7 linked regions of the Ovis aries genome follow. The protein of the gene in region 6 purifies or fractionates together with the protein of the main gene of each other region. This does not show direct contact. Links are inferred from orthologs where the notes say so. Each region holds a gene or a part of one and is shown on either strand. Other genes may lie near its edges.

Region 1 (3,500 bases), on a different chromosome or scaffold from region 6:
GAGGTCTGCTGGAGGAGTGGTCTGGCTCAGGTACACAGGTTCGAGTGTCCCCTCTGAGGAGGAGATCCCTGGCCTGGGCCCCCTAGTCCTCGGCGTGGCCATTCTGGAGGCAGTTTGTGCCCCCGGCAGACCTTGTCTCCTCTTCTAGATTCAGCTGGTTTGCCCTCTCTGCAGCAGCCACTGCCAGTGGGCACCCCATCCCCATGGTATTCACTGTGTCCTTACACACTGACAGCTTTTGGCTGCAAGCACCTGTACTCTACCAGGGCTGTCCTCGCCAGCGCCCAGGGCAGATCAGAAAGTGCCAGGAAGTGGGCCCCCAGGAGCCCTCAGGCAGCCCACAACTGCTGCGACTCAGAAGCATGTTCCGCATAGTTGCCTAGATGTCCCCAGTGGGACCGTTTCCCACTCACCCACAGTGATCACCTGCTCACTAAGGAGCCTGTCTTAACTCTCCTCCCTTTTACATCTCACTGCTCCTGGGGGCTTCCTGAGATCACCCCCCAAATGAGCTGTATACACCTAAGTCCTTGCCTCAAGGTCTGGTTCTGGGGTAGCCCAGCCCAAGGGACTGACCCTTCTTTCGTGGCTCCACGTCCCAGCTCCAGGGTCACAGGATCCACGAGCACGTGGCCTGCTCCACGCTGGCCCAAACGTGGACCTTTGGTGGCCTCTGACCCAGGAGCAGCCCCTGGCTGAGTCCTGAGCATGCCAGGGCCCCCAGTCCCCCATCTGATGCCACAGCTGCAGGCCTGCGAACCTTTATGGGCTTGATGATGCCCTCGTTGTGGGTGGGGTCCGTCTCGATGGTGAAGGTGTCCCTGTACTCGCCCTGCACGAAGCTGTACTTGGTCTTCCGGTTTTGGGGCTCATCTGGGTCCTCAACAAACAGAGAGCCCAGGGGGCTGCCCACGCGGATGTCTTCTGGCACAGAAAATGTGTACCTGGCTGATGCAGAAGGGGTGCCCCAAAGGGCATGGGGTTAATGAGGTAGACAAGGTAATTGTCGCATATACTATCCCAGTATGTTCTGATACAAGCAACAGGCACAATAAAGTAGCAGAAGCAGTAGTAGTAATTCCTCTGGAATTTTGGGTCTCAAGGCACAGAGGTTCCACTCATCTGTCCTTTCATCCCTTCATCCATCTGACAAGTAGTTATCAAGCACCCCCTGTATGTCAGGCACTTTGCTGGGGGATCTGTCAACTGCCAAGAGGAGAAGCCCTGCCTTTGAGGAGCTTTCACCATTCACAGTGAGGTCATTTCAGGGCACGCTGGCCTGTCCTTGCAGTGGCTGAGCCTCTGAGTGGCATCAGCCTTGGAGGTGCAGGTGATGAGCCTATCTGACCTCCTCCCCACCCAGCGCGTGTGAAGAGCTCCTGTTGGACATTTTCCTGTGGGGAGAGTCAGTCTGTGGGTGGGTCAGGGCCCAGCCCTGGCTCTGGCGCTCTGCTGAACCCTGGCTCCCCAGCTCGTGGGTTTTCCCAAGCTCATGGAAACTGGGTGAAACTGGTCCTGTCTGTTAGTGGGACTCTGGGCATGTGGGACACAACAGAGAGTATGATCTGCTGCTGGCCCAAGAGGGCGCCCTGGCAGGCCAGGTGTGCAGCCTTGGGAGTATGTGCAGAGACGGGGAGCGCCGGGAAGCCATCTCTGATGTAGGCTCACTCTGGGGTGGAGGGAGAGGTGGATGGATGCCAGGCTCCTCCCTGAGAGCACCGCCCCCACCAGGGCCCAGGGAGAGGGGCTCACACTGGGTGAAGATGGGGAAGTTGTCGTTGACGTCCTGCAGAGTGATGAACACAGTGGCTGTGCCTGACTCCCCCCGGCGGCCCTGGGCGTCTTCTGCTTCCACCACAACCTCGTACTTATCCTGCGTCTCTCGGTCCAGGTGTTTGTTCATGGTGACAATGAGTCCTGCAAAATGTGTCCTGTCAGGAACCATGCTACCTGAGGAACTTTTAAAGAATATGGATGCCCAGACGCTACCCAGAGAGCCGTGACTTCAGAGCTCCTGGGTGACGTCCCTGTGCAGCCAGGGCCAAGAGCCAGGGGACATCCACCACCCATCTCCACGCCCTGCACTGTCAGGCCAAAGCCACACAAACACTTTTGTCCACTGTGGGCCGAGAAAGAGCCTGAGGCCACATCTAGGCTCAGAGTGAGCAAAGTGCTGTGATGGGTTATGCCTCAGTGCAGCATAGGTTGTGTATTCGCCATTGTTCTGAATGGTGGCATGCCCCAGGCCTGACCACTTGGACTTTTGTCTTTCTCCAAAGACTCAGTCCTTACAGTTTTTTTAGGTCACATGTGATAGCTAATGACAACGAGCCACATGCTCTTTATACGTCATCTAATTCAGACTTCACAGCTCCTGTATGGGGTGCGTGCATATAACCTTCCCCATTTTCACCATGAGGACTCGCCAGTGCTCAGAGGTTGGTTGATTTGCCCAAGGTCTTTAGAAGTGGTGAGCAGCAGAGATGGGGTTGGAAACCAGATCTGTGTGGTTCCATAGCCAGAGCTGCTAACTAGCCTTCTCGTCTGCCTCTCGTGTCACTGCTTGGGTGGATTTTTGTCCCCTGGACTTGAGTTTACATCCTGGGCACCTGTCTGCCTCCTCCTGCCCTCACCAGCCCCCTTGTCTTGACGCGTGGTACCGACCGCCTCCACAGGACACTGCGAGTCAGTGTTTGGTGACATCTGTCAGACTGGGCTTCCCTCTGTGCCTACACCTCCACCCGCTCCAAGCCAGTGCTGCCCAGGGGGGTTAGTCACACGGACCAGGGCCACGGATGTCGAAACTGTCTTTTCCCTTTGTGAGCTGGTACACGACAGAAGCGTGGTCTGCCACTGTGGGGTCATCTGCATCCACTGCTGTGACCTGGATGACCGAGGTCCCTGCCGGGAGAGAATCCAGGGTTACTGCCTTGTGACCACCAGCCCCTCACCCCATTCCCAGATGAGGGCAGATGGGGCTCAGGCTGTCCCCTGAACCCCCTCTCCCGGGTCCTGTTTTCTGAGGAGCCTGCCTGGCGCTGAAGTGCTGACAGTGGCGGAGGCCCAGCCAGTCAAACATGTAGGGTGAAGAGAGCAGTGGTTTTCTTTTATGGGGGAAATGAGGGGAGGGGTGAGTGTCTGCAGTCATGGAGAGAAACAGAGGAAGAGCTGCTCTATTTTTGCTCCTGGAAGCATGAGAACAAGAGAATAGGAAGGGTCCCAAAAGACTGGGTGTCGCATGTCTTTCCCCTTGAACTCCAGGCTCCCCAGGCTTAACAAGAAGGTCTGGTCTTGAGCCCTAACCAGAGAGCCTGGACGAAGGGGTGGGGATGGGAGCTCTTTTCTTGCATCCCCTGGAGGCTGGGAGTAGAATTGAGGAAGAAATAGTCTCCTCTGGGGGCCTAGGGTCCAGGCTGGTGACATACCTGGGGATGAGGTGTGTCCCTCTCCACTGCTCCCCCCGCGACTCCTAAATAGACCCTAAAGGTAACCCCTTATCT
Region 2 (3,449 bases), on a different chromosome or scaffold from region 6:
GGGTGGGGACAGTGGGGCTGGTTACCAGCTGCCCTGCAGCCTCTCCCGGCCCTGCACTGTTCCTAGGCCGACCTTCCACTCAAATGGTTGTGGCTGCCCAGCACACTCCACGTGCCTGTGGCATGCAGGTGGACATGGATTCTGTCCATGGCCTGGAGCTGAGCCTGCTCCATGCTGAGCCAGCACGGGGTATCTCCGCGCCTGTCCCAGGGCTGCCCTCTGGGGCTGCAGGAAAGCAGACTTACTTCTGAATGTAAATGAGGATGCCCAGCATGTACTGGTCCACCTCCAGGCCCTCCAGCAACGCCGTCTTGCTGTAGGAAACCAAGGGGACACAGCTCAGAAGGCTGGCCCGACCTCACCTAGGGCACGGGCCCCATCACATCTCTGACCCCTATGTGAAATGACCCTGTGTGAGGTCGCTGCCTCGAGCAGCACCAACCTTCCAGGCCTGTACTGTGAGCCCCACATCTGGGGCAGGCACTTCTCAGTGCTGATGGAAGGAAATGACTGTTAATAGTCCCTGAGGACATGCCACCCACCCCCAGAGCCACGGGGACCGTCTCTGACACACTCACTTGCACACAGGGCACCTCCAGGTCCCTCGCTCACAGTTAAGCTGTAAATAGGACTCCAGGTCAAAGCACTGCAGAGAAAGGGGAGACAGTTACTCACACTGGGGCTGGGGTAACCCGGCCCTGCAGTTCCAGGGACGTAGGGCTTATTTACTGCATGTTTGAGAAGGCACATGTGCCAGGCTTTCACCGTGGCACCATCCTCATGTAAGAGATAGGATGCCTACAGAGCCCTCACGGGAATGACATGTGGCCAAAGCAAGAACTGGCCAACTGTGCTGATAGGGAACAACCTCCAGGACATGGTATGGAAGAAAAACATGACGTACAGCGATGGGTATACTGCTTATGTAACCAAAAGGTGGGGAGTGAGGGGGAGGGTGCGGGTACTTGTCTACCCACAGTGCTTCTGCAGAAAGAACCTAAGGTGCTGCTCCTGGGGGCAAGGCAGGGAGCAGACTGTGCCCTGCATCCCCGATGCTGTTTGAAATCGGAGCCCCAGGACTTCCCTGGTGGCCCAGGTGGGTCCATGCTCCCAATGCAGGGGGCCTGGGTTTGATTCCCGGTCAGGGAACTCTATCTCACATGCTGCAACTAAGAGTTCACATGCCACAACTAAAGATTCTGCCCATAGTAACTGAAAGATCCTACATGGCCGCAACAAAGACTGAAGATCTGCACGCCACAACCAAGACGCAGTGCAACCAAGTAAGTAAGTAAAAGAGCAAATAAGTAAAATACAATGAAGTCCCAAGAACCCAGTAAAATGGCTGTTACACTTAGGATAACATTAGAAGAAACAAAAGCCCAGCCTGAGGGAAGAGGGCAGGGGAGCCAGGCTGCCCGTCCACTGACTGGCCTGCCCTGCCACCCACCAGCCGAGGTGCTCAGAGGCCACATCCACCAAAAACAGTTAAACGGCAGCAAAAGCTTTGGCAAAGCGCTGTGGTGACCACACACCTGTATGTGGCGACAGTCGTGGCCCCGGGCAGGGAGCTGGATCCTGCGGAAGGTGATGGGGCACTTGAGGGCCACCTTGATGGCCGTCTGCTCCACCCCATCCTCTCCGTTGGGCCCCGGGGTGCCAGGGATGGTTCCGCTGCTGAAATTCCGCTTTACTGACACCAACAGGGGAAAGCAGGATGTGAGCGAGGGCTGCCAAGCGGGACTAGGCCACTGCTAGCTCAGCACCTCTGAGGACCATTCTGGGACTGACCGCTACCCTCTGCATGGAGCCCCAACCCAGAGGAGACAGCCTTGTCTAACACGGGGACGTGCCAGGTGTGGCAATGGCCCCAGCAGAGCTGAGGAGCGCGAGGACCACTCACTCTTGGTGATGCAGTGCTCGGCGGGCAGGAGGCGCTTCTTGAGGAGGCCCTGCAGCACTGAGCGGACGGATGGCCGATGCACCAGCTGCAGCACGAAGAGGTGGGACTGCAACGGGAGGGATGTGGTCAGCGGGGTGCGGCCTGAGGAGGCTCGTGCTGGCCCACTCTCCTCTCACAGCTAATGCACAGGCAGGCTACTGCCGCGCCTCCCCGGGCAGTCAGGAGCCCACACCCACACCTATCGATAAAGCTCATGTGTATCCGCACCAGTATTCAACCATGGCCTCTCTGCTGAAACACAATTATTTGAGAGGCCCCTGAGTGCACCCTGCCTGCAGCATCCACTGGTATCCTATGCTGGGTCCACGTGATACCCCAGGCCCACAGGGCCGCATTAGGGCTGCCTTGCCTCCGCTCCCTCCCACCTAAGCTGATCAGAGCTGTGCATCTAAGTGCCTCTTCTAGTGCTGGATCTGGAGCTGCCAGAATCCAGATGACTCCTTAACAAGGATTCAGGGTCAGCTGGGACTCGGGACTTTGTGAGCTTCTTCCAGGAAAGAGGCAAGCTTAGTTTGCTTCTCTTACATAATTAACATTTGATGCTTACATGAGCATCAAATCTAGTTACTGAACCTAACCAGAAAGCTGCCAGTACATTTTTAACTGAGACCCTTTTCTCAAAGGCCTATCATGGGAAGGAAGAGAGCCAGTGCCATCTTCTTCAGTGATGATGGCCCCATCTTGCCCTGCTATGGGCACTCACACAGCAGCAGGCGGTGACAGTGATCTGGATGGTGTTGCGGCCCGGCTGGCACACGTGCTTCAGGTAGAGAGGCTTGTGGGAGGTCTTGTTGTCACCGCGCTCGATGGTGAGCGGGGTGGCATTGACGCTGACCTGCACGGAGGCCGGCCAGTTGGTGTTCATCTGCCGGTCCTCGTGGTGGTAGCACTTGAACTGCAGTTCCAAGTCAGGCCTGCATGGGGAGGACGGACGCTGAGAGTCAGGGGGCGGCGGGTGGGGCCGCGAGCCGTGGGGCAGGCGTCCGCTCACCTCAGCATCAGGGTCTTGTAGACGGAGTCTCGGAGCTGGAAGGCATGGTTGCTCACCGCCAGATTGTGCTGCAGGCGGAAGGGCTCCAGGACAACCCCGTCCCTCACGGGGAAGGTCAGCCGCAGCTCGTCACAGGGGCCGCTGCCTGGAAGTAGGCCACGCAGGTGTGAGCAGGCCACCGGCCCTTGATGGCCACCAGGCCAGGCCTGCCCCTTCCCCCATCGTGGGGTCCATGGTTGAGGGGAGTGTGGCCCCTCCTCCCCTTCCATGGGGCTGGGGCTTAGGACAGCATCTCTCTTAGGACTCTGGGCTCGGCCTTCACCTCCAATGGAAACAGGATCTTGGTGTCCTGCTATTCTTCCCTGCCTCAGTCGCCTAGCCCAATGATCCCTGCATCATGACTCTAAGAGAACACGCTCCCCACCCAAAAAGGTGGTGCTTCTGGTGCTTTCAGAGGGAGCAGGAGGCAGAAGGGGTGTCAACAGGCCACCTGCC
Region 3 (2,554 bases), on a different chromosome or scaffold from region 6:
TCTAGGTGCTTCAGGGTAACTAGCAACAGTTAACTATATGGTGCTAGTTACAGGCATAATACAAGTATCTAACATTTGCTGGGTGCTTATTAATGCAGAGCACTGTCCTTGGTAACTTGTATCCATCCCATCTAACCCTTGAAGGTAGCTACCACAATTAACCCCATTTTACACACCAGTAACCGGGGGTGCAGCATCACACAGCTGATTAGTGAGTAAAGGCAGCACAGGCATGTAGGTCCCTGGAAGCTGGCTGCGGAAGCTAGGCTCTAACCACTAGGCGGCAGAACACTAACTCATTTTTTTGTTGTTAAAGGGGTGTGGGGGGGGTGGTTGGGGGTGGGGGAGTGATCAGTATTTTAACTAATTGGCCTCCTAATAGAGTTAGGAGAATCAAAATGAAAGCTGAGAAAGGAAGAAAAGACTGCAGGCCGAACAGAGGCCATAACCCATTCTTTTGCTTATCTTCAAACTTAAGAGCTAAAGCAGACACGTAAGAGTTTTTAATTTGCCAGATATTCTTTTAATGAGAATTATAAAAGACCAAAAACATTTTTTTGCAAACTGCTTTTTAAACAAATGATTTGCTTTTAATTACAAATACTGTGTGAGACGATGCCTTCTTTTGCAAAACCAATAAACACAAGAACAAATTTTAAACATATGTGATTTGTCCAAGATATGTGGGGGGAACGGAGAGCCTGATTTTTTTTTTCCCCAGTATTAAAAAAAAAAAATCAGTACTCCCTAACCTTACAAAGAATAAGTCTGAAGGTATGACTCAACTGGAGAAGAGAGGGAGACCATTTTAGAGCTGCTTTAACTAGTTTGATAATTCTTCTGATGTTATCTTTCCTGCTTTAACTAGTTTCTGACAATTCTTCTGATGTTCCTTTCTGAAACTCGTATCTTCACAAAACAGTTGAATTTAAAATATTTCTAATGAACTGATTAATGGGGGAAAAGAAAATATGTATCGAACACATGTATAAATTTTACCATCAACAATTATGCATATCAAAAAGACACTAACTTTAAAAGGTACAAAAAAAAAAGTGAGGAAAAACCTGAATTACAGAAAAGAAAGTCAAATTTATTTAATGAAAAACTATAATTAATAAAAATTAGCAAATACACACAGAAAAAAAATATACACACACAGCAGCACTATGTATTGACTCACATAGGGGAAAAGCAGTGGTCCAAGACCACTCAACATGGCTTGTCAGTTGAAGGAAAAAAAAATCCAAACATACTCACACGCGCACACACACACGCACAGGCACACAAAAAAACAAGAACCCAGTATTTTTCAACGGTACACTCAATCTACAACAAACACAAATTCAGAATTATGTTACAATGCTTCCTTTCTTAATACAAAAGATGCCCATCTTGGGTGTATATATATATATATTTATTTTTCAGTGGTTTACTGTTGACTTATTTTTAAATATATTAGTGTTATTACATGCAACTGTTTCCTGTATTTAACAGCCTTTCCTTTTATTTACCTTCATGTGTCTAGCTTCCACCTACCACAAGTTTTTGGTTGGTAGGCAGACAGGTGCCTTATTCTCTGTGAAATCAAATGCAATGGTTTTAAACACTGGCCAGAAAATGTCTGATTGCCATTTCAACACATGGAAATAGTTACATTGATGCCTAAATTGCCATTTTCTGCAAAGAGCTGTGCAATGCTGGTGTCAAAGACTAGGCAGTCACTATTCATAATGGCTGTTGCAATTCCCTCATGAATAGACCGAGGAGTGGCTTCCCAAGTCAATCGCCGCCTATGACCATTTAGCTCAAGTCGATAAGCAAAATTTTCAGCTTGCTTGCGTGTTCCTATCAGCTGTACAATTGCAAAGAATTGCTGGTGACCATCATATTTTTCCTGTTTCTCCAAGACCAACATGAAGTGAAAGCCAAAACAGGACTGCATCATCACCCAGTCAACAGCACCAGGAAGATTAATGTCTGTAGCAAGGAAAACTATGTCCTCTCCCTGCAGGGTTGTGATGGACTTATGCTGATGCATCAGATGCGGCATGACAGCATCCAGAGAGCCTTGCCATTTACAGGAAGCACCAGGGCACGGACAGGAATAAGGCCTAAACTCACAGAGCTCTTCGTGGTCTGCTTTTTCTGTGTGTGGCAGAGTTATTTCACATCCAGAAGAGGCGTATTTACAAGGGAAAAGTACTGAATTGGCCACTTTCTCCATAGCCAAGTTGCGAATGGATCCCAACGGGCCCCGGCAAGTTGGACAACATGTGAGCTTTGGGCGACAGTTGCTGCAAACCAGATGGCCACTCTGGCACTGGAGAATAGGTGGCAGCACATAGTCGAAGCAGACCGGACACTCAAAGAGGCTCGCCAGGTCATTGTTGGAGGCAGTTGTGCCCGTCAGGGCAGGCACCCTCTGGGACGGCGCACACTTTGAGGTTCCGGTAGGTAATGCTGTTGCAGTCTGACGGCTCATTTCTGTAATAAAAAACACAAATAAAAGTATAAGGAGGCAGGAGAAAATTAATTACAACTATAACATGTT
Region 4 (2,988 bases), on a different chromosome or scaffold from region 6:
CCTGGGATCTGTGGGGTGCAGTGGGGGAGCTCGGGGGAGAGCTCAGCCCCATGGAAACACTCAAGCTCCCCGCCCTCCAGAAGCGGGTGCTGCCTGTCATCCTGCCGCCCATGCCCCAGCGGGTGTGCACCTACCACGAGCTGCGCTTCGCCTCCGTTCGGCTCCCCGGCTGCCCACCTGGCGTGGACCCAATGGTCTCTTTCCCCGTGGCCCTCAGCTGTCACTGTGGGCCCTGCCGCCTCAGCAGCACTGACTGCGGGGGTCCCAGAACCCAACCCTTGGCCTGTGACCACCCCCCGCTCCCAGACATCCTCTTCCTCTAAGGATGCCCCACTTCAACCTCCCATGCCCACCCTAACTCCCAAAGCCAGCAGACGCTCCTCCCCTCCCTTCCCAATAAAGACTTCTCAAGCTGCACTCTAGTGTTGTCTTTTTGGGGGCTTGGGTGTGTGCACCCATTTGTGCGCGCGCACACACACACACACACACACACAATGGGCCCAGTTTCAGAACCATTTTATACAAAGTCACAGTGTCAGAACTCTAGTAGAAAACGGGGGGTGGGGTGCGGTGGGGGGAAGGGTGATCAGCTCAGGAGGTGTCCATGGTTTCACCTTCTGTGAGAGAAGGAAAGCCACATGGTCAGCACGGCCCAGCAGGCAGGGCCAGGGCTCCCTCCTCCCTCTCCGGGGCAGGCACGGTGGGGGACACTCACTGAGCTCATTGAAGAGGAAGGCGTCTTGGTATTCCTTCATGTATTGCGTGGAGCGCGACTCGTCCAGGAAGAGAGAGTAGACCCGCTTGATGTCGTCCACCTGCACCTCGGTGCCCTGACGGGGGACACAAGACCTCAGGGGGGCCCCACCCAGGAGCCAGGTCATGTCCCACCACGGCCACCTCCTGGCTGTGGGCCCCGCCGCTCCATCCCTCAGTTTCTTCACCTGTAAAACGGACTTAACGGCATCCACTGCAGCCAACAGATATTTACCCAGCACCTCCCATGTGTCAGGCTGGGAGCCACAGAAAGAAACCCAAGGGCCTGAAGTTCCCACCTTCGAAAACTTAAGTTCTGGGACTAAATGCAACTGCCCAGGGAAAGCCCGGAGAGTAGCGTGTGGACCACTCACTCCTCTGACGCTGGCTGGACTCAGCGGCTCACCTTGCGTTTCCGGCACACCAGGCTGGCAGCCGTGATGAGCTGGATGGCATAGCGCAGCGAGGTCTCCAGCCCGATGCGGGTCAGAACCGTGTAGGCGTCCTCACTCATCTCTACATCTTCTTCCTCGCACCTGCGGGCAGGGAGGGGCGGGGGTGTTCAGCCAGGGACGGAGCCATGAGGAGTCAGAATCCTCGGAAGCCCAGAACACAGAGTGAGAAAGGCCACCGAGGCAGGAGCTGGACCTCAAACTCGGGCCTCCGGAGCCTCCCCCTTTCAGGGCTCTTTCCCCAGCGCCAGGCACCCGCACAGCCCCTCCCTTGTCCAAAAAGCCCCGCGCCCCCCACCAGAGGCCACTGCTAGGATGCCCCGCCCAGCCCTGCTTCTGGCAGGCCCAGAGACCTCCCCCGCAGACCTCAGTGGTCCCCACGTGTCAAGCAGGATGGACACCAGCCCCTCAGGCCGGCAGCCTGGTCCTGCCCGGGAAGGCCAAGGGCCCCTGCCCGCACCGGATGCGAAGGATCTGCTTTGTGTCTTTCTCGCTGTAGGGGGAGGTGGAGACGATGAGCAGACGGTCCAGCAGGTCAATGGGGATGCCGTGGGGGCTCTGGTAGCTGGTGCCCCGGATCCTGCAGAGGAGGAGGAAGGGAGGGCCATCAGGGTGACGCTCCTAGAACCCGGCTCTCCCCTCTCTACACTTAGAACACCCCACCCCACCCGCCCTCTCCGCCACAGCCCACTCACTGGGCCAAATACCGCTGAGCCTTCAGCTTAGGGCTGGCGTCACCACCTGACGTGGTAGCCACCCTCTGACTGCGTTGCTCCCCATCCAGAGCCAGGCTGGTCTGAACTAGAGATCTAGGTCTGGGATTACTGGATCAAGGTCCCACTCCTCTGCTGGACCCAGAGCTCCACAAGGGAGGGACTGGGCCCACCCTGTACCCTCACTGCACCTGGCCCAGCACAAGGTCAGGCACGTGGCGGGTACCAGGAAATAGCAGATTCCTGTTATGTGTGGGAGCTGTGATCTATAACTGGGGGCGATCACTCAATTAGCAAGTACTGAACCACCGCCCATGGAGGAAACAGTAACACATGGCTAGGCTCTTGGCAGCCTCTGTCACAATTTTTGGCCACCAGATAGCTTGGTTTCAGGTGTTTCTGTTTAAAGACACCCGATTCAGTATATATTATTGACTTTTCATGCTGAACTCATGCCCACAGCCTCTGAACTTGTGCCTGACGGATGCTATCTAACAACTGTTTTCTCTATACGGTCCATCCCTGCTGTGCTCAAAGACATTAGACAGCTAGCGGACATTTTATAATTTGTTTCATTTTTTGGCTGCTCCACACAACATGTGGAATCCTAGCTTCCCAACCAGGGATCGAACCCTTGCTCCTTGCTTTGGAAGTGTGGACTCCCAACCACTTGACTGCCCGCTAAGTTGCCTAGGGGCCATTTTAAACCACAAAATCATCAGGAACAAACAGCACACAGTGTGACGCCTGTGGCAACAAGTAGACAAAGAAAAGGACGCCTGATTGCAGCCCGTGAGCTCAAACTAGGAGGCGGAGCACTGCCTGCTTTGACCCTCGCCTGGACTGTCTGCTGTGGGCCATTCAATTTTTCCCTGCTCTGCACACATCCGTGAGTGACCGCCAGTGTGGCAAATATCGATTTGGGAGCTACAGATCATCTGTAGCGAATAAGCAGAATCACAAATATGGAACCTGCAGGATAATGAGGAGTGACTGGGTTTGCAGCCTCTCACAGGTGATGCCCCCGATCCCATGGCCTGACCTGCAGCTGCTACAAACACGCTCATTTG
Region 5 (3,500 bases), on a different chromosome or scaffold from region 6:
AGGTGAAGGAGCCGGAACCATTTTTGTGATTGATGACAAATCAGGGAACATTCATGCCACCAAGACATTGGACCGAGAGGAGAGAGCCCAGTACACGCTGATGGCTCAGGCGGTGGACAGGGACACCAACCGGCCCCTGGAGCCACCGTCGGAATTCATCGTCAAGGTCCAGGACATTAATGACAACCCTCCTGAGTTCTTACATGAGACCTATCATGCCAACGTGCCCGAGAGGTCCAACGTGGGTACGTAAGGGAGGGGGAGGACGGACCTGCTCCACCTGCAGGCCTGGTGTCTCTGCAGGTGGGTGGGCTGGTGCCCATTCTCCCAAGTGGGGATATAGAATTTATGCTGTAGCTTCTGTGTTCAAAATAACCAACAAAAAACATTTCATGTCTATAGTTGAAGTTTCAAATATTTTAAATTGCCCTGAGTTTTTAAACTGTAACCTTACAAAACATGAGGAGGCATAGAAGAATAGGAAAAATGTGATGGAACCCAGGCCATCCTGGCCCTGGTGCTTGTTAACCTTTTGACTTGGAATCAGTTCTATCTGTTCTCTTAGCCTGAGCTTCTCCTCTGTAAAATGGGACTAAAAGTTTCTACTCATGTAGGATTATAAATAGTATACATCTGGTCACTAGTGCATGTTGGTGTTGAATAAGTAATAGCGGCAGAGTTTGTAGCATGTCAACACAGTGCTCATTAATGATTTACATGCCCTGTTGCATTTAATCTTTGCAGTGACTCATCTTTGCAATGAGGTAGGTCCTATTTGACATATTTTGCAAATGGGAAACCAAAGCTAGAAACAAGTTAATTATAATTTATTCAAGGTCATCTGAGCTATTAAGTGGATCCAGTATATACACCTCACCATGACACTGTGTCACCATCTGTTAGAATAATTCATAAGCAGCTATGTCTTTCATCATGCATACAGACACCTAACATTGTGAGTGGACAATTCTCCTGGCAATAATTCTTGTTTCGCTTTATAGAATGCAGGTTGTTGTACTTGCTTTTGAGAAGCATGCCTCATATTAAGAAGGGTTTGCTTTTCAGACAGTGACCAGGGCTGTTCTGATCAGGGAGTAAATACAGTTATGAAATCAGAGATTTAAAGTTCTGATGAGCTTAAGGATCATCAGGGCCAAACTGCCCATTTTACAGATGAGAAAACCAAGCACAGAGACTGAGAATCAATTTGCTCAAGAAAGTAGGACACAGAAGTAACTCTAAATCTCTACTCCTCGGGACTTCCCTAGTGGTCCAGTGGTTAAGAATCTGCCCTGCAATGCAGAGGATGTGGGTTCAATCCCTGGTCAGGGAATTCATATCCCATGTGCCTTGGAGCAACTAAACCTATGAGCCACAACCAGAGAGTCTGCACACTGCAACGATAGATCCTTCATGAAGCACCTAAGACCGGGGGCAGCCGAATAAAAAAAGATTAAAAAAAACTCTACTCCTTCCACTTTGCATATAGAGCTTGTGGTGCAAAAAAAAAAAAAAAAAAAAAAAAAAAAGCCCTCTTCTCCTCCAACTAACGTGAAACCCTTCTCATACTTTATAAAAACTCACCTGGGTCTATTCTATCTTCTCTTTGCCTTGCCCAATTCTTTAGTTTCTCAGTAGTCACCTGGGGACTTTTAATGAGAAACAGCAGACATCAAAGAAATCATTAAATAGAGGACAACAGCAGCTGAGCCAGGGGGAAAAGGCCAGTCATCAAAAAGGATGCTCCAGGGAAATTTTCATTGACCCCATGTCTTAGGGCAGCTTAGTGCTTAAGGATTAATATCAGACTTTGCATCGTGACCTATGAGAGTTGTCTGCTGTCAGACAGTTCTGGATTGGAATCATGGCTGTGCCTCTGACCAACCAGGTCAACCCAGACAACATCTTACATCTTTCTCAGTTTTCATTTTGTCGTCTATCACATGAGGATAATGTAAACTCTGATGAGGGTTAAATAAACATAGATGTAAAATACAAAGAGTTGTAATGAACTTAGTGGATTTCTTGAAGTAAATTAAGCATAAAAAATAATACTTTGACAAGCTCTACTGTGAAAGTAGAGAATAGAGCTTACTAATGCTATTACAAATGTCCATGATTTAGAATAGTACCTAGTTTTGTGGGAAGAATCCTCCCCCCAAAGTTGTTTGTATGAAAAAATGAATTACAGAATTTTTTTAAAAAGTAAAATTTGTTCTTACACTGTGTGAAAATCACCAGCAAACTTGTAGATCAGGGGGCTGTATAAGTGGCCTGCCTTGCCACTCGTGTAGAACCTGGCTCCTCTGTTGAAACTGTCACGGAAAGAACTTGGGCTTGGTTGTTTGCTGGGTAGAGGTCAGTATCCTGACTCTGACAGTGACCCACTTTGCAAAACAGACTGCAGAACTTCCTACCTGTTATACTCAGTAACTCACAAGTACAATGAACCAGTAGAAAGCACCTAGCAGAGGGGCAGAATACTTGGAACATGCCCCAGACAGTGCTTGGCACAGAGGAATTCTATAATCACCAGCCCTCTCCCTTGACCATCTCCCCTGCCCCATTCTGAACCATCAAGGAACAACGGTTTTTCCTCTGAAAAACAGAATCCCCTCTTCTTTCAATTCGCTGGTTTCTTTCCACTGCGGCTCGCAATTGCTGGCCTTAGATCTCACCAGATGTCTACTGGTGATTTCTGTTGTGTGACTACCAGACCCATTGGAGGTGGGAAGATGCAATTTTCATGCCAGTAGGGAACAACATTCTGTACAATATTTATGACCATAAATTAATTAAAATGTAGTATTAGCAGCCATTTTATTACATGCAAAGCAACAATAAAATGATGTATTTATTGCTCTGCTACAGATGGAAGACTGCACTCTGTCCTTTCATGAAAAGCAATTCATCATTAATTATCCTTTATTATACTCTTTGGGAAGATTTTTATTTAATTATTTGATATACTGAACATTCCAGTTGCATGGGCCTTAGAATGTTTTTGCAATAATGTTCACATTATTATTTTAACTACTAAGCATAGCAGGATGCACTATGAATATAGAAAGTTCATTTTTAAGCTATTAGGATTAAAAAGGGAGGGAGGAGGAAGGGAAATTATTTTTGCATCTCAGTCTGGAAAATCAAAGCATATTGAATAATATGGGGGCTCTCGTTAGTTTTTAATCTTAAGACAAAATTTGCAAACTAGAATAGAATTTGAAAAGCGGAGGGATTGTCTCTAATGAATGTTTCACTTTTAAGGAACGTCAGTGATCCAGGTGACAGCTTCAGACGCAGATGACCCCACCTATGGAAACAGTGCCAAGTTAGTGTACAGCATCCTGGAAGGACAACCCTACTTTTCAGTAGAAGCACAGACAGGTACCATGGAATTGCATTGTGATTTGTGACACATTGTGAATAAGGAGTCCAGGCCTGCTGGCTGAAACCTTTTTGAGTCTCAGTTTTCTAAAATATAAAATGGGCCGCCTAAC
Region 6 (3,500 bases):
CCAACTTCTCTGAGATACATACGGAGTATAAGGCATACAATAAATTTGCAAAAATCTATAGAAGGACATGACACTGGGGGTCTCCAAGGCTCCATGACAACCACATTCAAAATAATTCTTTTACCTTGCTTTCCTGATTGCCGTAAGCTAAGATCTGAAGACAGTCTGTTGTAATAGCCAAGAATTTAACATTTGTTTTGTTGAGCAAGGCAACCATTTTCTGCAGCCCGCCAGCTAAACGCACTGCCATTTTAGCTCCTTCCTGATGCAGTAAAAGGTTGTGGAGAGTTGTAATAGCATAAAACAATACAGAATCCACTGGTGAACTGGGAAGAAGGAAAAAAGTCTCATCAGAAATGGTGTGACTGCACTCTTCTCCTCCTGAGCTTGGAGCATTCTGACCATGTTTTCTTACCCAAGCATCTTCACCAGGGCAGGAATGCCCCCGGATTTAAAGATGGCCAGCAAGCCCTCACGATGGTGGGAAAGATTGTGCAAGGTCCCAGCAGTACAGCGAGCTGTTTCCACGTCATTTGTGTTCTGCATGGTACGTACAATAGCAGACACCATCTGAGGAGAACGCATGATGGCGTGTCTGGAAGCTTCCTTTTTAGAAAGCTGATGGACCATAACTGCAGCCTTATTAACCACCACCTATAATATACAGGAATTAAGAAACATTAGTTTTCAATTTTCAAATACTGATGTAAGGTAGACATTTTAAGACTACTTCCTTGAGAGTTTCCTTCAAAGCAGATTAAAAAGTTGGCCATGTCTCTACTTACCTGGTCTTCGTCATTCAGCAGTTTTGTCAATTCAGGGATTGCACGTGTGGCAAGTTCTGCATCATCTTGGTAGTTAATTAAGTTTACAACGGCATGTTTCAGCATCTGTGATGGTTCAGCCAGACGCTGGACATTAGTGGGATGAGCAGCATCGAACTGTGTAGATGGGATCTGCATGCCCTCATCTAGCGTCTCAGGGAACATGGCAGCTCTCACCCTCTGAGCTCGAGTCATTGCATACTGTCCATCGATATCTGGAAAAGGTGAATTCGACAGTCAGATCTCCATGAGCTCAGCATCACCCCAACAGTCAAGCTGAGGCTGCAATCACTCCCTTTTCTTGACCACACTGTTTTACTTAAGCTGTTGTATGCTAACTTTTATAAGAGTAACTATGCAGTTCTCAAAACTGCACTCTAGCTTTGAGTAGGTAATAATATTCTTACCAGCTACTTGTTCTTGAGTGAAGGACTGAGAAAACCCCTGTTCCCACTCATACAGGACTTGGGTGGTATCCACATCCTCTTCCTCAGGATTGCCTTTACCGCTCAGAGAAGGCGCTGTGGTAGTGGCACCAGAATGGATTCCAGAGTCCAGGTAAGACTGCTGCTGCCAGTGACTGACAGCTGCTTTTCTGTCTGGCTCCATGGCCATGTCCAGCTCCATCAAATCAGCTATTAAAAAAAAAAAAAAAACCATCAATATTACTACCAGGAAAATGTTATCTTAATTTGAAAATAAAAATCTGTGATATTACCCACTGAAATCTTCAGAAATAAAGTCTGAAAGACAGCGAAGGATAACAGAATGATGGCCAGGATCAGCTCAGGGATGAAAAATCTATACTCTTAGGAGACCACCTAACAGTTACTCACTGAATCAGTGAAGAATGGTACTGCATCCAGGCTCCAGAAGCAGTCATCCAGACTAGATTCCTGCTGGTGGCTTGTTTGCTATTTCATCAAGCCATTAGGAGAAGTGGGCAGAAAATGGAGCAAAAGGTAGCCTGACAAGTAAGCAGGGAGAGAGGAAAGCAGGGGAATCTGAGCCAGACTGGGTTAATGGCAACGAAGCAGAGCCTCAATTTCAGTAACTAAAGTCTACAATACAAACCTTGGGTAGCCATTGTCCACGCAAGATTTTCAAAAAGGTAGTATGGTGTACTTCAGCGACCCTAAAAGAGTTAATCAAAGTCATTAGTATTTAAAATTTTTGATTTTAATACTTATAAGTCACTAGGATAGTCTGTCAAACATCACGGACTACATCCACAAAAAGCCCCAAATCCTCTTTTACCATGTGATACAGTGAAACACAGACCTTATGATCTCCTCTAAATACTTCAACCACAGCTCTATCACTGCCAGACTTTTAAGTTTTCACTTAAACTCTAATCAGCACCTCTTTGTATAAAGCCAGGGGAAAAAGGCTATTCAAAATCAACCCTTCTTTGGGTTTCAAAAGTCCTCTCCTTTCCCTTTTTAACTTCTTTCACTAAAAAAATCATAGGTCTTCTTTTGACAACAAACATCCAATGGGATTTTTAAAACGCCAAATTTCACTGAACAAGTCAACTGTTAAAACTGTCTTCTGATATTACAATGCCATCTAAAATATCATCATAAAGCAGGTATGGTGACTGGATCAGAACAGATTTCAGATGGTTTACTAAGAAGTAACATTACTTTTCCAATTAGTCTGTAACGCAAAATTAGAAGCACCATTTTTAAAACTTTCCTAAGTTCAAATTTATAGCAATGATTTATTATAAATACAAGTATTACTGTCTGGAATACTTTAATCAATATAAAAATCATTCACATATATATTAAAAATCTTAGCATCTAATTTTATGTCTCCATTTTGGCTTTTTTGTGTAATATTCAGGAAAATGCTGAATTATGCAGCTATTTGCAAATGACCAGTTTAAGAGCTCAGGGTCTCCAGATATTCCTAACAAAATTTCCTTCATTACAAAGTCTGTCCCTTAACAAGTTCACTTTGTACTACAAATTAAATATTAGATGTAAATTACCAATGTGGACTAGATATTTAAACGTGAAGTGTGTTTTTCATAAAACAATGTACAAAGAAGTTTAAATGTGTTTAATGCAGTTGGAAACTGTACTTTAAAGTCCTATTTTCTGTCCTATGTAAAGAAGTATGTGTTGATTATCCTGGAATTGCTCTTCCAAAACTGGATTTTTATAGCCACAAAGATCACTTGACACCTAAAGGTGACAAGAGCTGTGGATACAACTGTTTTATCATCCACAGTAGAAACAATTGACAGTTTACTTAGAAGGCAAAATGAAGGTCAGGATGTAACAAATGATTCCTGTCAATAAGAAACCTATATTTTAAAATCAAGTATTAAGCAGGATTATGTGTTCCATGTTTCCATTTAGTAGGATAGGACTGGGGTGTAGAAACTTGCATTTTTAATTAACACTCTAGTATGCAGAAAGCAATCTGTAAACCACATGGTAAGAAATATAATGACGGAAGAAACCTAGGTTCTTTGTCCACTTATGGCTGTATTTTAGCTCCTTATCTTTTGCCTATCTTTGAGACTGGTTATTTAACCCTTTCTTCCCCACCCCTTGGAAAAAATGGGTTCCCCATACCCCGTTCCAGCTAGGGAAGGGGACTTATATGTTCCACACTGAGCTCCTCCTCTGGCCAATGCCACAGGGCTCAGAAACCAACTACTCA
Region 7 (4,234 bases), on a different chromosome or scaffold from region 6:
AATAACACTTAAAAATATGGTTCACTATGCTGCTGATTCAGCATCATTAGGGCGAAGGTTGTTCCTGTGCTGCAGCCTAGCGGAATGATTTGGTATAAAAATGACATATTCCAGGAGCACTGGCTTATCACTTGCTGCAAAGTAGGTTAAGAAACATATGAAATAGTTCATATGTCCAATATCCCCCAGTTAATAGATACTTTGCCTCAGTCATTTGTTTACATGTGTTATTAAATGAAGATCAAAAGATGGATTCTAGACTCTGAACAGAGTTCACACAGCTGGAATTAACCTTTTCAGTCTCAAACACTCTCTTTTTTTCAAGAAAAAAATAAAAAGCCTCTTTCCAATACACTTTCTTAATATTGTGCCAGTAATGTATATCTCTCTAGATAGAAAGTCAATTTTCTATCCTTTTTTTTCCTTTAGAAAATCTTAGTGTAAGTGGAAATATAACAGTATAATACTAAACTGGATACCTGTATAGTACCATTCTTATCAATACACAGCTAGGTTTTATAAACATCTAGGTCTATCACCTGAAGTATTAATCAGGAATCAAGCAATTTGACCACTGACTTCACACATATACATGCCTATGTGGATGCCATACAGATTATGTGCTCCTTTCCCAAGTCCCTGGGATTTCTCTCTCTCTCTTTTCTCCCCCTTTTCAGGCATGTAAGTGTATGGAATTCTATTCTTTGATTGGAGTCAGAAAAGACATACGCATTCACTAGGGAAGTCAATTTGTTAGCAGCAAGTATTTGAAACCAAAGAAGTATCTGATTTAATGAAAGCAGACATTCACTCATACTCTAAAAACACATAATTTTTTTAAGTGAAAGCAAGTTAAAGAAGCACTTCTTTATGTTTTCATGATCAGAATGGATCTGTATTTGTTATGTTCCTAAGACACAAACACACTCTGCTTAGATCAGAGCACACTCCAATGCCTTTGCTCCACAGCCCACCCCACTCCCAATAAATCACTATTTCCTTATGCATTACACATTGAATACAAACGTGCCACCTTAACTATGCTGTAGGGAGAGGGGCAAGAAGATTAGGTATCTAACTTGTCATTTACCTCTTTCTCTATGATACAGCCCCCTTCCTATTTTCATCACTTTAACTAAAAATGAATCTAGAGCTCTTGTCAGTGACATAATGTTTTCATGAAAGTTCTACTAATTAAAAATCCTCACCATACCAGACCTAAAAAATGAGCACACTCTTGCCAAGTGTTATTCACCACAGAGAAGCTCTTGTAGTTACATTTTAAAGGAGGACCCAGAGGAAGATGCTGTGGAGGGAGAAAGTCTACTAACATATACATTGAGGTTTACCAGTTGTCAGCATCAGAGGGACAGACTATTTTTAATAGAGATCCTTCAAGAAAACAACAACAACAAGAAAAAAAAGAAAAGAAAACATCCATCTCTGAACAGCTGAGCATAAGACATGTGCAGTTTCGGATAATAGAAGCTTTTACTGGAATAAAGAACCACAATTACAGGAAATAGATCTGTTTTTTTGGAAGCAAAAGATGAGAGGTCAATTTTAAATTGATGTTTGTCTTTGCACCTGTAGACTCCTCTTTTTAATGATAAGGAGATGGTGGTTTTTATTGCATTGGCAGGAAAACACTTTCAGACTACTGCTTTTGCCCATACTTACAGTGCTATCAATAGTTACTTGTCGGGGACATGCATTTAGTCTTGCAATGTGCTGCATTAATTTAACACCACATAAAATATGGATTTTATTGCAGCAGAGACAATAAATGCTGCAACTGCTGACTATATGCATTTCATCTCCCCTCTTCATCTTTCCTCTCTCATACTTCTGACTCAGACACAAAATGCGAATCTAGGAATTATGCCTATTCTATTTCTGATAAGTGCCAATCTTTCTTATTTATGTAGATGCTTAGTGACCATTGACAGGTTCAAGGAATCTGTCTTCTGCCTGTCATTTCTCCTTATATTGAACCTACAATGAACTATGACTATAAATAAGTGCAGAGGGGATCCATTCATATGGAATGCAAAGTAATGTTCAATGATAGAGTTCAAAGCAACAATCTTCTCTTCAAGGGATTTTTAACATTAAGACGAACAAGCATGAGCATAACAAATTACCCTCCATAATATATTATTAGCATTTGATCAGAGTGAATGAATTCACAAACTCTAACAACATAACCCACTGTTGAGCATAAATATGTAATTTATCCAGTTTCACATTACCTCTTCGGCTATTCAAAGCAGTGGTTTCTAGAATACAATATATAGTTTTATGCTTAGTAATTTTTTAACATGTTAAAGATAATTATTTGAAAATAACTGCCGAATACAACTTAAAAACAAACATTCTCCCCCAGGGAGAGAAAATAAGAGACCTTAAGGGAGTTAGGAAAAAAAAGAGAGAGAGAGAGATGAAGTCTTCCTACCTTTTTTTTATCAGCTTCTGGATAACGGAAGTTGGTTCCAGCCAAAATAACCCTGGAGAAATTGTCACTATATCCCCTTTTTGTTTGTTTTCGGCTATTTCCTATTACTGATTCTACTTCAATCTAACTCAAGCTTTCTCTCAGCATCACTTTTAACTCTGGACGGCAGGGAACCGAAGAAACCGGGGGGCGAGTTCTCTCTGATTGGCTTTCATTCAGTGCTTCTGATTAAGGGGGGGAAAAAAAGAAAAGAAAAGGAAGGAGGGGGAAAAAAACCCTTCCTCACTCGGAGAGAAAGGTTCTGCTGATAGAGCTGCAGCACTCGCCATGGGAAGGTTAGAGACTGGGGAAGTGCTGGCTTTTGCTCGCACACAGCGATTTGCAAGTGAATGCGAGGGGAGGGCGCATCCGAGAGGAGGGCTTCGGATGAAAGGCGTCCCCTCCCCCGCAGGGCAGAAAGACTCTCTGTTTCAAGGCTAAGGTAATCAGCCCGATCTAATCCGGCTGTGTCCGCAATGCAATCTCAAGAACGGGACTGCTTCTCGCAATTCTTTTTTAATAGATACTTCTTCTTCATCTGACATATATATCCCTGCACCATCCTTAACTCCAGATCGCCGAAATCCATGAAGCGAGTGCCAAGTCAAATTGCAACCAGATCTGAATCGTTACCGGAGTGATTTTGGTTGCGGTTTGAATTAATATTTATTTTTGCTTTCAGTGAACTTTCTTTTCCTTGGTTCTCCAAATATTTTATTTTTTTATCGCTTATGGTCATAGGAGAACATACCTTGCTCGTCGTTTGGGGATGTTCGTGAGCTAGTCTTGTCTGCTTAATCTTACCTGCTTTGCCTTTTGATTTGATAGATATAATATTTTATTCATGATGTAAATATGCAATTAACGCTATTAAAATATTTAGAGTTGGGGCTGGACATCGTTTCCTTTCTTGTTTTTCTTTTTTTTTTTTTTTAACTTTTTTTTTTTTTTTTCTCAGAAACTTGAGTGTCATGCCCAAAAGCGGGGGGAGGAAGGCAGATATACATTTGGGTGGTTCTGTTTACTTAACCATCTAACTATTTATCGCTCTATTTATTTATCTCGACGTTAAATTGGAATCAACCAAAACCTTACCAAAGGATGTCAGTATAGCTCCACAAAATAATGAGCGTTTTTATATTTTTCTGGCTTCATGTAGGTTCCTTTTTAAATAAATAAATTACATTAACATACTATAAAATAATAATATAATATAAAAATAACTGTAAAGCTGAGGGAGGATTATGAAGATAACTTTTTAGAATACATACTACTGCTCAGAAATAGTAAATGATCTACTTAAGGACACAGAGCTAACTCGTGACAGAATAAAAACTAGAATGACAGTACATATTTTATATTTATATAGACATATTAAACATATAACATATATACTTATGTGTATTTAGAATTTCAGTTTAGTACTGTTTCTGAAATGTCATACTACTGCCTGGGTACCTATTTTATTATTCTAGCATCTGTAGGCCTCTTACATGTGTGTGTGTGGGTGCTCAGCCACATCGGACTCTTTACAACTCCTTGGACTGTACAGTTCGCCAGGCTCCTCTGTCCATGGAATTCTCCAGGCGAGAATTCTGAAGCGGATTGCCATTTTCTAATCCAGGGGATCTTCCTGACCCAGGAATCGAACCTGTGTTTCTTGTATCTCCTACTTTGGTAGGAGGATTCTTTACCATTGAGTCATCTGGGAAACCGCAGGCCCCCTAGCATAATGGGAAA

The links.
Region 1: the proteins of CTNNB1 (region 6) and CDH5 purify together in Homo sapiens (affinity purification with western blotting; 11 studies listed by BioGRID and IntAct, counting the BioPlex papers as one, with this or other methods). This does not show direct contact. The link is inferred for Ovis aries from reciprocal best matches to the Homo sapiens genes CTNNB1 and CDH5.
Region 2: the proteins of CTNNB1 (region 6) and ZMIZ2 purify together in Homo sapiens (affinity purification with western blotting; 3 studies listed by BioGRID, with this or other methods). This does not show direct contact. The link is inferred for Ovis aries from reciprocal best matches to the Homo sapiens genes CTNNB1 and ZMIZ2.
Region 3: the proteins of CTNNB1 (region 6) and SIAH1 purify together in Homo sapiens (affinity purification with western blotting; 4 studies listed by BioGRID). This does not show direct contact. The link is inferred for Ovis aries from reciprocal best matches to the Homo sapiens genes CTNNB1 and SIAH1.
Region 4: the proteins of CTNNB1 (region 6) and RUVBL2 purify together in Homo sapiens (affinity purification with mass spectrometry; 5 studies listed by BioGRID, with this or other methods). This does not show direct contact. The link is inferred for Ovis aries from reciprocal best matches to the Homo sapiens genes CTNNB1 and RUVBL2.
Region 5: the proteins of CTNNB1 (region 6) and CDH11 purify together in Homo sapiens (affinity purification with western blotting; 3 studies listed by BioGRID and IntAct, with this or other methods). This does not show direct contact. The link is inferred for Ovis aries from reciprocal best matches to the Homo sapiens genes CTNNB1 and CDH11.
Region 7: the proteins of CTNNB1 (region 6) and CDH10 purify together in Homo sapiens (affinity purification with mass spectrometry; 3 studies listed by BioGRID and IntAct, with this or other methods). This does not show direct contact. The link is inferred for Ovis aries from reciprocal best matches to the Homo sapiens genes CTNNB1 and CDH10.

The regions. Positions count from the first base shown.
Region 1 is NC_056067.1:33,719,338-33,722,837, reverse strand, and holds part of CDH5 (cadherin-5), read right to left. Parts: intron 2,902-3,500; coding exon 2,785-2,901; intron 1,918-2,784; coding exon 1,753-1,917; intron 949-1,752; coding exon 761-948; intron 1-760. UniProt on the Homo sapiens protein: Cadherins are calcium-dependent cell adhesion proteins. They preferentially interact with themselves in a homophilic manner in connecting cells; cadherins may thus contribute to the sorting of heterogeneous cell types.
Region 2 is NC_056057.1:78,409,176-78,412,624, forward strand, and holds part of ZMIZ2 (zinc finger MIZ domain-containing protein 2), read right to left. Parts: intron 3,100-3,449; coding exon 2,955-3,099; intron 2,878-2,954; coding exon 2,667-2,877; intron 2,010-2,666; coding exon 1,904-2,009; intron 1,694-1,903; coding exon 1,536-1,693; intron 647-1,535; coding exon 579-646; intron 315-578; coding exon 246-314; intron 1-245. UniProt on the Homo sapiens protein: Increases ligand-dependent transcriptional activity of AR and other nuclear hormone receptors.
Region 3 is NC_056067.1:16,326,995-16,329,548, forward strand, and holds the end of SIAH1 (E3 ubiquitin-protein ligase SIAH1), read right to left. Parts: intron 2,488-2,554; coding exon 1,637-2,487; 3' UTR 501-1,636; downstream 1-500. UniProt on the Homo sapiens protein: E3 ubiquitin-protein ligase that mediates ubiquitination and subsequent proteasomal degradation of target proteins.
Region 4 is NC_056067.1:55,312,493-55,315,480, reverse strand, and holds the end of RUVBL2 (ruvB-like 2), read right to left. Parts: intron 1,786-2,988; coding exon 1,666-1,785; intron 1,290-1,665; coding exon 1,160-1,289; intron 831-1,159; coding exon 716-830; intron 618-715; coding exon 592-617; 3' UTR 501-591; downstream 1-500. UniProt on the Homo sapiens protein: Possesses single-stranded DNA-stimulated ATPase and ATP-dependent DNA helicase (5' to 3') activity; hexamerization is thought to be critical for ATP hydrolysis and adjacent subunits in the ring-like structure contribute to the ATPase activity.
Region 5 is NC_056067.1:32,319,393-32,322,892, reverse strand, and holds part of CDH11 (cadherin-11), read left to right. Parts: coding exon 1-245; intron 246-3,267; coding exon 3,268-3,387; intron 3,388-3,500. UniProt on the Homo sapiens protein: Cadherins are calcium-dependent cell adhesion proteins. They preferentially interact with themselves in a homophilic manner in connecting cells; cadherins may thus contribute to the sorting of heterogeneous cell types.
Region 6 is NC_056072.1:13,853,880-13,857,379, reverse strand, and holds part of CTNNB1 (catenin beta-1), read right to left. Parts: intron 1,960-3,500; 5' UTR 1,912-1,959; coding exon 1,899-1,911; intron 1,460-1,898; coding exon 1,232-1,459; intron 1,040-1,231; coding exon 786-1,039; intron 655-785; coding exon 416-654; intron 327-415; coding exon 125-326; intron 1-124. UniProt on the Homo sapiens protein: Key downstream component of the canonical Wnt signaling pathway.
Region 7 is NC_056069.1:48,986,110-48,990,343, reverse strand, and holds the start of CDH10 (cadherin-10), read right to left. Parts: upstream 2,801-4,234; 5' UTR 2,456-2,800; intron 1-2,455. UniProt on the Homo sapiens protein: Cadherins are calcium-dependent cell adhesion proteins. They preferentially interact with themselves in a homophilic manner in connecting cells; cadherins may thus contribute to the sorting of heterogeneous cell types.